3 linked regions of the Oryctolagus cuniculus genome follow. The protein of the gene in region 2 interacts with the protein of the main gene of each other region in a biochemical or structural test. Links are inferred from orthologs where the notes say so. Each region holds a gene or a part of one and is shown on either strand. Other genes may lie near its edges.

Region 1 (3,567 bases), on a different chromosome or scaffold from region 2:
GTTCTCTAAGTAGACAACTACCTCCTTACAAAAGAACAAAGCCAATATTGGTTAGACAAAAAGCATCTAACAATTAAGATTCCAACAGTTTCAAAGAAGGTAAAAAACCAAGAAATGAAAAATACTGCTGTGATTTTATTAGTACTTAGCTTCCCCAAATGAACTGCTGCTAACCCTCTCTATTATAATCAGCTCTATGTTCTAGCTTTGGGTCAGTTAATGAAACCTCAAAATTTGCCTTCTTTTAAATTGATTCTCAATATATTTCCAAAGAACAATCTTGAACAAATTTTTCAAAAGTAGTAAACTTTAAAAACTAATCAATGCATTTTAAATATATCCTTAAAAGTTTTCTATGTTTTGCTAACTTCCCATTTAATTCCCACTAGTTTCTTTGGGTGGACCTAATCTCCTGCACCACTTTAATGTATAACACAAAATGACTCTGAACCCAGGCCAATGAGGACAGGCCCCCAGGAGAGCTAGAGCCATTCTTCCTGTGTCCCATGCCAAGGTGTCTTCCAGGGACAAACAACAAAGATTTGCAATCACATGGTTTGATAGCCATACAGATCTCTCCAAGTTCAATGGCAAAAACAGCAGGTAAATACCCTCTTTAGAATTTCTCTCTAAACCCAGACTCTGGCTGATCCTCATACACAATTCATGTCCCTTCCCTCGTATTTTTTGGTCTAACACAGCCTTTTACTCTTTGACCTAGTCCTTCCCCAAGAAGCAGCTAAACCAATTATGCCTGACCACCTTCAAATTTAAGATTTCTGGGGTATCAAAGACATATTTCCTCATTTCTACTGCATTTCAATAAATTCTAAAACTGTACTGTTCAGTGCAATAGTCAACACATGTGACTAATTTCACTAACAGTAATTAAAATTAAATAAAAAGTTCAAATGCACTAGCTACATTTCAGGTACTTCAAAGTCACATATGGCTTAGAAGCTACTGTACTGTGGTCAGCACTGTGGCATAGGTTAAACCTCTGCCTGCAGTGTCCACATCTCCTCTAGGCACCAGTTTGAATCCCAGCTCCTCCACTTCCAATCCAGCTTTCTGCTGATACACTTTGAAGGCAGTGGAGGATGGCCTGAGTGCTTGGGCCCCTGCACCTACATGGGAGACTTGAAAGAAACTCTTGGCTCCCAGGTTTGGCCTGGCCCAACCCTGGCTGTTGCAGCCATTTGGGGAGTGAACCAGCAGATAGAAATAGCTCTCTTTCTCTCTCACACTCTACTTTTCAAATAAAGAAACCTTAAAAGATCCAGTGAGAGCATTTTCTCTCCTATGAAGTCTTCTCTGCAAACTATCATGTCTCAGGAAAAGAAGACAACTCCCTTCTTTTATCCTAACACTGGTAACACTGAAAAGAAATTACAGGCTGACATGTCTGCCTTAACCAAACCAGAAAGGTTTGTAAAGATTTCCTTGCTCACTTGCTACCTCCCTCCTTCCCTCTTTCCCTTCCTTCCTTCCCTCTTTCCCTTCCTTCCTTCCCTCTTTCCCTTCCTTCCTTCCTTCCCTCTTTCCTTCCTTCTTCCTTTCCTCCCTCCTCCCATCCCCCCTCCCTCCCTCCTTCCTTCCTTCCTTCCTCAGCCTCTTTGCATCTCTAAAATTTGAACACAGTACTTGGCCCATAAAAGGCACTCAACAACGTTTACCAAGTTAGGAGCAGGCACTGAGACACAATGGGTGAAGCTACCACTTGCAACACTGGCATCCCAAATCAATACTTTGTAAGGAAGCATGTATTGTAAATGATACTGTCAACGTATGTTATAAATGACACCATTATTTTCTCTTGGACTGTTGTTCGTGTTATATATCTTAAGGAGTACTATTAATGACTCACATTTCAATAGTGCCTTGTTCAATAGCTACCTGTTGGACAGAACTGTCTGAGAGTCACAATATTATTTATCAGCTTAATTCTCTCAATTCTCTCTTGATGAGCTAGATTTAGCTGTCTTCCCACATTTAGCCCCTTTGCAACCTACGAAATCATTTGCCCTTCCTGAGTTTGGATGTCCCTATTTCTTTATTAATTTCCTGGTTTATATTGTTTTCTCTGGATACTCTAACATTGTACAATACACATATAGTTAAAAATTTAGAAAAAGTGTTGTATGCTCTATGTATATGTAATTTTCCATTTCTATTCAGCAATAATGGAGGCCACTCCTAGGTCTAGACTTCCTTTGTACCTCAACATTCAACCCTCTAGGCTTGACCCCTAAATTCCCATGCAGACACTCAGTAAGCTTCATCACTTCTATCTAATCTGTTCTATTCTGACACATCTAGCAACAGAAATGCCCTCAGCAATAAAAACCAGGGATGCTATATCCCAAAACACGTTAAAGTGTTTCTCTGTCAATAAAATATTCAATGAATGAAAATTTTAAGAACTTTACCTTGAGGGCCTCAAACGTAAGCAGGACATCATTAGTCTGTTTCAGGTCAATATAGAACATCATCAATTCTCGTGATCCAAGTTGCATGAATATGGGAAGTAACTGAAATGAAAACCAAAACCAAGCCTCAAATTTTGACTTGATTTTTACTTATTTCCTATTCCCTTATGACAAAGGAGGATTAAAAAAATGAAACATCTCACCCCTTCTCCCCTTCTACCTTATGAAGAACAACATATAAACCCATTCTGGTCAAACAGATCTTAGCAGAAGTGATCTGCATGATACTTTACCAGTTTGAAGCAAAGACTTTTCTGTGTAGAGTAAGAACATATTAATGTATAAAATTTACTAGATATAAAGTAGTCCTGAAGTGAGAACAGCACTCTTCCCAATTAGCTTACCTCCTGATACTCTCCTAGAGGGGTCAAATACTGAAGAATGAGGCGCTGCTCAATAGCAGGAGTCATAGGATAAAGGGTGTAATTGGTCCCAATCACCCAGGGGGACATTTCTGACCAGCTGCTATTAGACAGCTCAACAAACACGCGATCTGGATCCGAAGAGGAGAACCCCAACTTCTGCTTGGCTTTCCTAAAGTTCTCTCTATCACCCTGTTTTGCTGACTTGTTTTTCTTCAGTCCTCCTTCCTCAGGTTTGGTTACTGAATTCACTCTACTACTGGTCTTGTGGCTTGAATCAAGATGAAAGGAGATCTCCACGTCTCCAGAAGCTTCCTCTTGTTCTCCATCCACTGCATCTCCCGTCATGTCACCATAGTCCATATCCACAGCTTCCTCATCCAGAGGCAGAAGGGGCTCAGAAGAGAGCTTCCGTGGGCTGGGACGTTTGCTTTCTAGCCGCGAAGCCACTTCCTGAAGCTGTAGCTCCCTCAACCTTCGAAGCACTATAGCCACCTATCAGCAGATACAGAATAAAAGGAGTTATTTCTCACGAATCTTCACATAAGTGACTCAATAATAATTCTTATTTCCACTTAAGGAGAAGTGGATACTCATGCATTAGTCCAGTGTCTAGTATTAGATTTGATAAATATACTGACTTGGGTTCTATAATTTGGTGAAATAAACAGCAGCCTCAAAGTTCTGCTCCCATAAAATCTTACAGAAAATCTAAA
Region 2 (3,567 bases):
GCCAGGCACAGAATGGTGAGGAAAATGGTAGTGACTGCACCTTGGGAGCTGAGGGCCAAATGCAAATGTTCTAAATCCACAGAGCCAGATGCTGTGGGGAATTGCGCCAGTGTGTATCTGCAGCCTGGCAGGCCCAGAACAAGCCAGGGCCTGGAACATCTCTCAGAAGAACAGACAGCAGCCCCAAAGAGGACCCTGCCAAGGAAGCCGCAGGGAAGCGGGGCCCACTGTCCCCCGGAGCCTGAGCACCGTGCCTTTCCCGAGTCCTTCCCAGAGGAAAAGGGAAAGGAACCATTTTTTCTTTCTTTTCTCTCTCTTTTTATTAATGCAAAGAGTCTCCTCATATCTCTCCAGCTAAAAGCAGCCTGTGGCATGCTCAATGGCTCGGCACACACGGCCTATCAGAGAGGCAGCAGCGTGACCAGGGAGGCCCACTGGGCAAGAGAAGTGTTTCAGTGCCCTCCAAACAGCGCCAGGCCCTGCTCATCTGTCAGACACAGATGCAGCTTGGGCACAGTTGCTGGAGAGTTTGGCCTCAGCAGGGGCAGCACCTTGCTGGGCCCCAGCACCCACGACCCCTGACCCCGTGACCTCACCTCCGCTCTGACTCCTCCGCCATCTTCAGCGCCAGCACCTCGGCCTCTAGCACCTTCTGCTCCATCAGGCGCTTTTCCTCCTCTGTCCTAATGGCCGTGGCCTTGATGCGCTGCATCTCCTGCTCAGCCTCGGCGGCCTTCTGTGCCAAGAGTTTAGCCTCCTCCTCCGTGATCTGGGCCTTTTCAGCCAACAGGTCAGCTGTCTCCTCGGACCGCATCTGGTGAGAATGTGCCCCTCAGTGAGAGTGGGAGTCACTACCCATCCTCTACCCAGACCCAGCCTCTGGCCGTCATTTAGCAAGAACCTGAAGCTGGGACTCGGGGGACCCAGCAGCCTGTGGGCAACAGATGACAGGTCATGCCCCCAACGTCTCAATCCATGGGAGCGACAACAAAGAGGGCCATTCTACAGCCCCTACTCCAGCTGAGTCTTATGCATTATGACAGGGAGAGTGTGGGGAGCAACTCGGACTATACTGTTACTGGAATTAGGACTTATTCTGTGCATCTGCTCTCCCACAATATGGCGCTGGGAGAGAAGAAAACAGCTTCTACACAGCTGCCTCCAGTTCAGCCAATAAACTGTAGGACTTGCTCCTGATTGGAGGAGAGCAGCGTACTCGGCGTGTGGGCAGCCGAGTTGGGATTGGCGGAGGAGGACTATAAAGGAGGAGAGAGACGGCATGCACCAGGAACATCTAAGGGAACACTTGTGCAGCCCCCGAGAGAGCCGGCCGGCGGTGTGCTGCTCCCCTGCAGAAGTGGGGAATGTGGCCAGGGGGAACCGCCCTTCCACGGAGGTGGAAGGGACAGTAGCCAACCCGGGAAGAACCAGCAGTAAACCCGGGGAGGGCCGAGCAGACGAAAGAACAGCGCAGGGTCTAGTGTCGTTCCTCCACGAAGAGGGGGAGCGACATAATGGTGCCGTGACTCGGATATGAAGCTTAGGCAGGGTTTAGTGTCGTTCCTCCATGAAGAGGGGGAGCGACATAATGGTGCCGTGACTCGGATATGAAGCCTAGGCAGGGCTTAGTGTCGTTCCTCCACGAAGAGGGGGAGCGACAGGAGAGTGGGAGAGGGGGAGAGAGGAAGAGAGGGAGAGGAGAGGGTTCACTCTCCAAATGCCTGGAATAGCTGGTGCTAGGCTGGGTAAAGCTGGAAACAATGCAGGTCTCCCACACTGGTGGCTGGAACCCAACTACTTGGCCCATTGCCACTGCCTCCAGGGTCTGTATGAGCAGGAAGCTGGAGCCAGAAGCCAGGGCTGGGATGTGGGCATCTTAACTGCTAGGCCAATGCCTGTCCTCCTGCAGACATTAACAAAAGAAAATTTATTTACTTATATTTTGAAAGGTAGTTACAGAGAGGGAGAGAGGGGTGTCTTCCATTTGCTGGTTCACTCCCCAAATGGCTGCAATGGCTGGGGCTGGGCCAGGCCAAAGCCAGGAGTCTGGCACTCCATCCAGGTTCCTGGAGACATTTTTGATTGTTGCAAAAGGAAGGAGAGGAGGGAGGTGTCACTGGTATCTGGCAGAGTTCAGGCCCCATGACCCAGAACGAACAGCCCCAAACAGTGGTACAGAGGCCGAGAAACCTCCCTTTAAGGACAACCTCATGCACGGCACATGAACCCAACCTAAGTCGGCTTCTGCCAACACAGGTAGAAAGGGAAGGCGTGGATTTCTTTGAAAGCTCAGAGGAGGCTCTCACTCCGGGTCTCTGTGGGCGGAGCCCCGGGAGAGCGGGAAGTCCCCTGCAGAACCTTGGAACTCACCAGGGCCTCATTGGCCATCGTTGCTTCCTCCTTCATCTGCAGCAGCCTCCTCTCCAGCTCGTCCCTTGTGCGTTCGGCCTCCTCCCTCATCTGCTTCTCCCGCGCAAGGCGCTGCCGCTCCATCTGGGGTGGGGGAACAAGAGCGGCACCGAGTGATGGGGCTCTAGGAATCCAAGAACACCCCACCTCCAGAACCTCCTCTTTGGTGATCTTTTTCTTCCCTTTATTGTAAGTAGCCAGGGTCATTCCTGCTGCCCACCACCCTCTGTCTTTCTAAGCCAGCTGCGGAGTTAAGAGCGGTGCCCCATGAAAAAAATGCTAGTGAATGAATCCACAGAAAGCGCCCAAGCCCAGTTCCTACCTGGCTAGGAGGCAGCATCCTGACGTGAGGTGTACGAGATAGCTACCTTGTCCGTGTCCCTTTTTCGCTAGGAGACCTCACCCCACTCTGCCCTGTGGCTGACAGGATAAACACAGGTCCCTGCTCCCTGAGACAAAGCCCCAGAAAGAGGCAGCTGGTTCCTCTGGTCAGATGGGCCACTCACCCACTTCGAACCCACACAGACCCTTCCCGCATTTCTGGTTTCATCAACAAGAGCTCTGCTCTTGCCTGGACTCACGGAAGAGGGAAGCACTATGTGTGATGCATTCACAGGGCACACACACTGGATTTCACAGGGGGCAGCTGCAGTCCAGACTCGCTCAGCCCCATGCGGAGGCAACTCCCGAGCCAGGCGGGGAACTCAGCCCCCCTGTCCTTAAGGCACAGCACAAAGCTGCCTTCTGGATCACCGTGTTAATTGGGCCACATGCTGAGCTTAATAAGGGAACAAGCATAGGACAGCTCCGTTCTCTGTGATCCTGGGGTACTAACTGCATTCCAAGAGCAGAAGCCAGAAGTGACCACTGTGCTATTTTCTGCCTTAAATAATTAAAGCACATTTAATTACTTATTCTTGCTTCAGTCTTATCCCAAGCTCTAGTAGCATAAGATTTCTAAGACTGCCGCTTTTTCTAAATACTAAGCCAAAAGGAAAAAAAAAATGCATTGGAACTTGAAAGAATAATGCAATGACAAGCAATAAAACACTGCACTGTAAGTTCTCCAATTTTCTTCTCGCAGGTCAATGAGAAGCTGGGCCAATTTGTTCTCTAAATTTCCATCATGTTACAATTTCCATAAGGCCGATTCTATCT
Region 3 (3,567 bases), on a different chromosome or scaffold from region 2:
ACATGACTTCTCTGTAGACTGATGGTATTTCCCTATTCTCTGTGATTATATGGCTCCAAAAATGTCTTTTTCACAACCATCAAAGCAATCCTATCCTTGTCCTGCCTTAAGTGGAGAGAAAAAAGGAAATAAAAAAGAGATGGCCAATTTAAACATAGAGAAACCATCATCTCACCTGTGCTCTTGAGTTTCACAGACATAACTACTTAGAGTAATCAAGTTGAATAGAGTCCCCTACTCCTTCTTCCCTTTCTGAAAAATCATAAAGTCATTGAATCTCGAAGGCACCAAGAATGAAGGTGAAATCAGGTTTAAGGAACACCACAAGAATACAGGCACTGAAGACGGATTTATACTCTGGGCTGAGCTGAGCCACATGGCAAGAAAGGCACCATTCCACCACCAAGCTTGGTCAGGAGTTCACACAGGAAGACAGGTCAATAAAGGGAGATGCCATCATTCTTACGAGTTGTCATTGAAAGAGGTCCCGTCCTGTCCAGGTCTTCCACCAAACCTGTGTTTGGATCTGAAGTGGGCTGAGGCATTGTACTGAGACTGGAGTCCATATCTGAAGGAATTAAATCAGTGTTATTACCTGATTTCCCAAAGCACTACCTGTGAGAGTGGTTTATAGCCCACAGCTGAATTATTTTTATAGTCCAACCTGGATAAGAGGAATGAAAGCATGCACTAGTTCAGGTCTTCACTGCTTTCTTCAAAACAGTGACAAGAGGTAACTGGCTTTCATCTAAGGTGCACTGTAGGAAAGCTATGATTTTTGTTTGTGTTTTTTCAATCTAGAAAAACCTTACATGAGCACATGATGAAACTCTCAAGCTTTGCCAAGAGACAGAAACATAGCTCTTCTCTGACTTGCTCCATTCCACACACATGGCCTTTCTTAAAGACATATGTAATGGGACACATGGAGAAAAGACAAGGTACACAGGTACACATGGACAATTTTGTCACTTCCCCCTTAAGACCTTTCGTGTTAATAAGGCTTAAGACCTTTTGTGTTAATAGCCTTTGTCTCTTTTAGTTTCTTTTCATGTCATAAAGTCAACATGCAAATAAAAACACAAAATCGTCATCCCATGCCACCCAGTTGGAGGCCCCAGGAAGTACATAGGGGCAAGAAATCATAAGCGGTTGATGCCACTGAATCATTCTTTCCACAAACACAACTATGAGGCATCTTTGGAATTTAACACAATGCTGAGTGGTGCAGAAATTTCACTGAAATATTTATAAATGTGCTTTTAATAGTTATCACAGCTCTAGTCTAGTGAAATAGAGGCCAGGCAACTCATAAACACCATCAATACTTCTGGCTCTCCAATTCAAAGTCCACCCACTCTACTCCCTCTGGGGATATTTAATCTGTTCCAAATGACCCCAGAAGATATTACTGGAATATGGGATGCCCACATCAGCATGACAGCTTGCACATGCTAAAAGAAGAGAGAAATGAGATCTTTGGAAGATAAAAATAACTGATTGTACTATCTGATTTCAAAAACGAAGAGAGGTAAGATCACCCAAATCAAAATCACAAATGAATATTCTCCCAGAGAGAATTCTACGTGTGGATGACATATTTGCTCATCTTCACATCTAGTGGAATTCTTACATCCTAGAGTTGAAGCCAATTGCATTGCCTTTGACATAGTCATTCATTTAGCAGACTCTCCTTCTCTTCATCAATGTGAAGATTTATTACTGATTCTAAAGCTCTTTTACTGACTTAGTTTTCTACCCTGGATGTCATTAGAGCTCCCAGTAGCCAGGTACATATACATGTGTACTGGGTCTGTGAGTGTCATTTCAGCCACTCAGTGTAATGTATCCTAACCTAGCCAGGCAAAGGCATCTACTTTTGTGGCAAACAGATCCACCCACTTAGACTTACTCATTGTTTGCCTTTTCTTCTCTCATGCCTTTCCTTATGCAAGTCTTCTTCCTAGAAAACCTTTCCCCACACTTGCTTTCTCTATCTATTCAGGTTTTTTTCCAAAACATTAGATTCAATCTACCTTTCTCTGATGCTCTTTGGAGAAGGGTGGGGGCCTCTGAATTTCTTTAGTATTTTTGTTGCCAACATTCACATCTGTTACTTACTGACTCAGTTTGTCAAGTATATTTGAATGCTAAATATTTTCATTTGCCAGTTAAATTTTAAGTTCTTTGAGAGCATGGGCCATGAATTGTACATCTCTGTGTTACCAAAATGCCTTGCATATTAGAAGAGAATTAATATATATTGTAGTTTAAGGTATATCACATCACTAGTATTTGGGTAGCACATAGTTCCAAAGAAATGAAACTGCAAATTTGTTGGATTCACTTTGGAGATGATTGTGAGGTTACTTAATACCCAGCGTTATGTGCTCTTGAAATTCATTTCAATAAGGATTGTGTTATACATATTTGACGATTTGGGTCTAAATAGCATATTCAGTTCCATGACTGAAAACTCCCATTCCCATATTGGTTAGAATGATTTATCTTCCTTTTGGGAATGTTACATTTTTGTGTAATACTTGCATTTTGCTAAAAATAAATAGAACTCAAGTGACTCTATTCATTGGTATGGTAAGGAACATGAATCATTCAACTTATTAAAGATTAAGAAAGGATGGCTACAACTTACTGCCAAATTTTGAAGATTATCTCAAGTAAGCTGTTGCCTATTTTCATAAAGGAAAATTCCTTTGAAACATAAAAATTGGTGAAATAAAATAAAAAAAACTTAATTCTTGCAAAACTATAACTGGTATCCTTTTTACTATCCTTTTTAAAAATTCTTCATAGAGAAATAGGATAGAATGATATTTAAGAAGACAGGAATTTCATCTTGTGTAAAACTTGTCCATCCATTAAATTCACATTTATTGAGGGCCAAGAGTGGTGTAAATCCTAAATCACTGGGTACTATCTCTAAATGTGTGAAGAGTAAATAATAATGTTTTCTGAGCCTCTGCATTACTTGTTTGGCATAATTACTCATCAAGTTTTGACCTCTCAGATTTCTCTACCAAAAGCAATGTATCAATGGAAATCAGCACTGAATCACTGCTTTGCTCTGTAGTCAGCAGTAAATTACAAAGATGTCTTGAGAATGCTGCTTTTTCCAAAGAAATGACTTTCACGCCTAGGAGCTAGGTCTAGTTCTTAATTCTCCTGTCAAATTCTTCACTTTCAGCCCAGCACTTCATATTCAGATGAATTTGCATATCACTTCTAGCAAGAGTAATTTTTGAGGAAACCAAGTTCCTTAGGAAAGTAGATTGATCTATTTCTAGGAAAATAGCAGATTTCAGAAACATAGTACATAAAATGCTCAGAGGTTATTACCCATGCTTCTCTCTGCTGGATGATCTTGTCCCATTGGATGTGAAACTGGGTCGAAGAAATCAGTCCAGGAACTGTCCCATTGACTCTCTGTTGTTGTTTTTGGACTGGGATGGCTGTTGTGGGCTGAGGCTGTTGTGGTCATGCAATTCAAGTAATTGTTAATTGACACGTGCCAGGAATACAATGAGTTTGTTTTTAATACTATATTCT

The links. The genes of interacting proteins can lie anywhere in the genome.
Region 1: the proteins of NF2 (region 2) and DCAF1 form a complex in vitro, tested with the Homo sapiens proteins (3 studies listed by BioGRID, with this or other methods). The link is inferred for Oryctolagus cuniculus from reciprocal best matches to the Homo sapiens genes NF2 and DCAF1.
Region 3: the proteins of NF2 (region 2) and CD44 form a complex in vitro, tested with the Homo sapiens proteins (2 studies listed by BioGRID, with this or other methods). The link is inferred for Oryctolagus cuniculus from reciprocal best matches to the Homo sapiens genes NF2 and CD44.

The regions. Positions count from the first base shown.
Region 1 is NC_091441.1:98,112,337-98,115,903, reverse strand, and holds part of DCAF1 (DDB1- and CUL4-associated factor 1), read right to left. Parts: intron 3,347-3,567; coding exon 2,834-3,346; intron 2,532-2,833; coding exon 2,430-2,531; intron 1-2,429. UniProt on the Homo sapiens protein: Acts both as a substrate recognition component of E3 ubiquitin-protein ligase complexes and as an atypical serine/threonine-protein kinase, playing key roles in various processes such as cell cycle, telomerase regulation and histone modification.
Region 2 is NC_091452.1:23,024,483-23,028,049, reverse strand, and holds part of NF2 (merlin), read right to left. Parts: intron 2,494-3,567; coding exon 2,371-2,493; intron 815-2,370; coding exon 597-814; intron 1-596. UniProt on the Homo sapiens protein: Probable regulator of the Hippo/SWH (Sav/Wts/Hpo) signaling pathway, a signaling pathway that plays a pivotal role in tumor suppression by restricting proliferation and promoting apoptosis.
Region 3 is NC_091432.1:30,785,874-30,789,440, forward strand, and holds part of CD44 (CD44 antigen), read right to left. Parts: intron 3,495-3,567; coding exon of another isoform or gene 3,487-3,494; coding exon 3,358-3,486; intron 569-3,357; coding exon 467-568; intron 1-466. UniProt on the Homo sapiens protein: Cell-surface receptor that plays a role in cell-cell interactions, cell adhesion and migration, helping them to sense and respond to changes in the tissue microenvironment.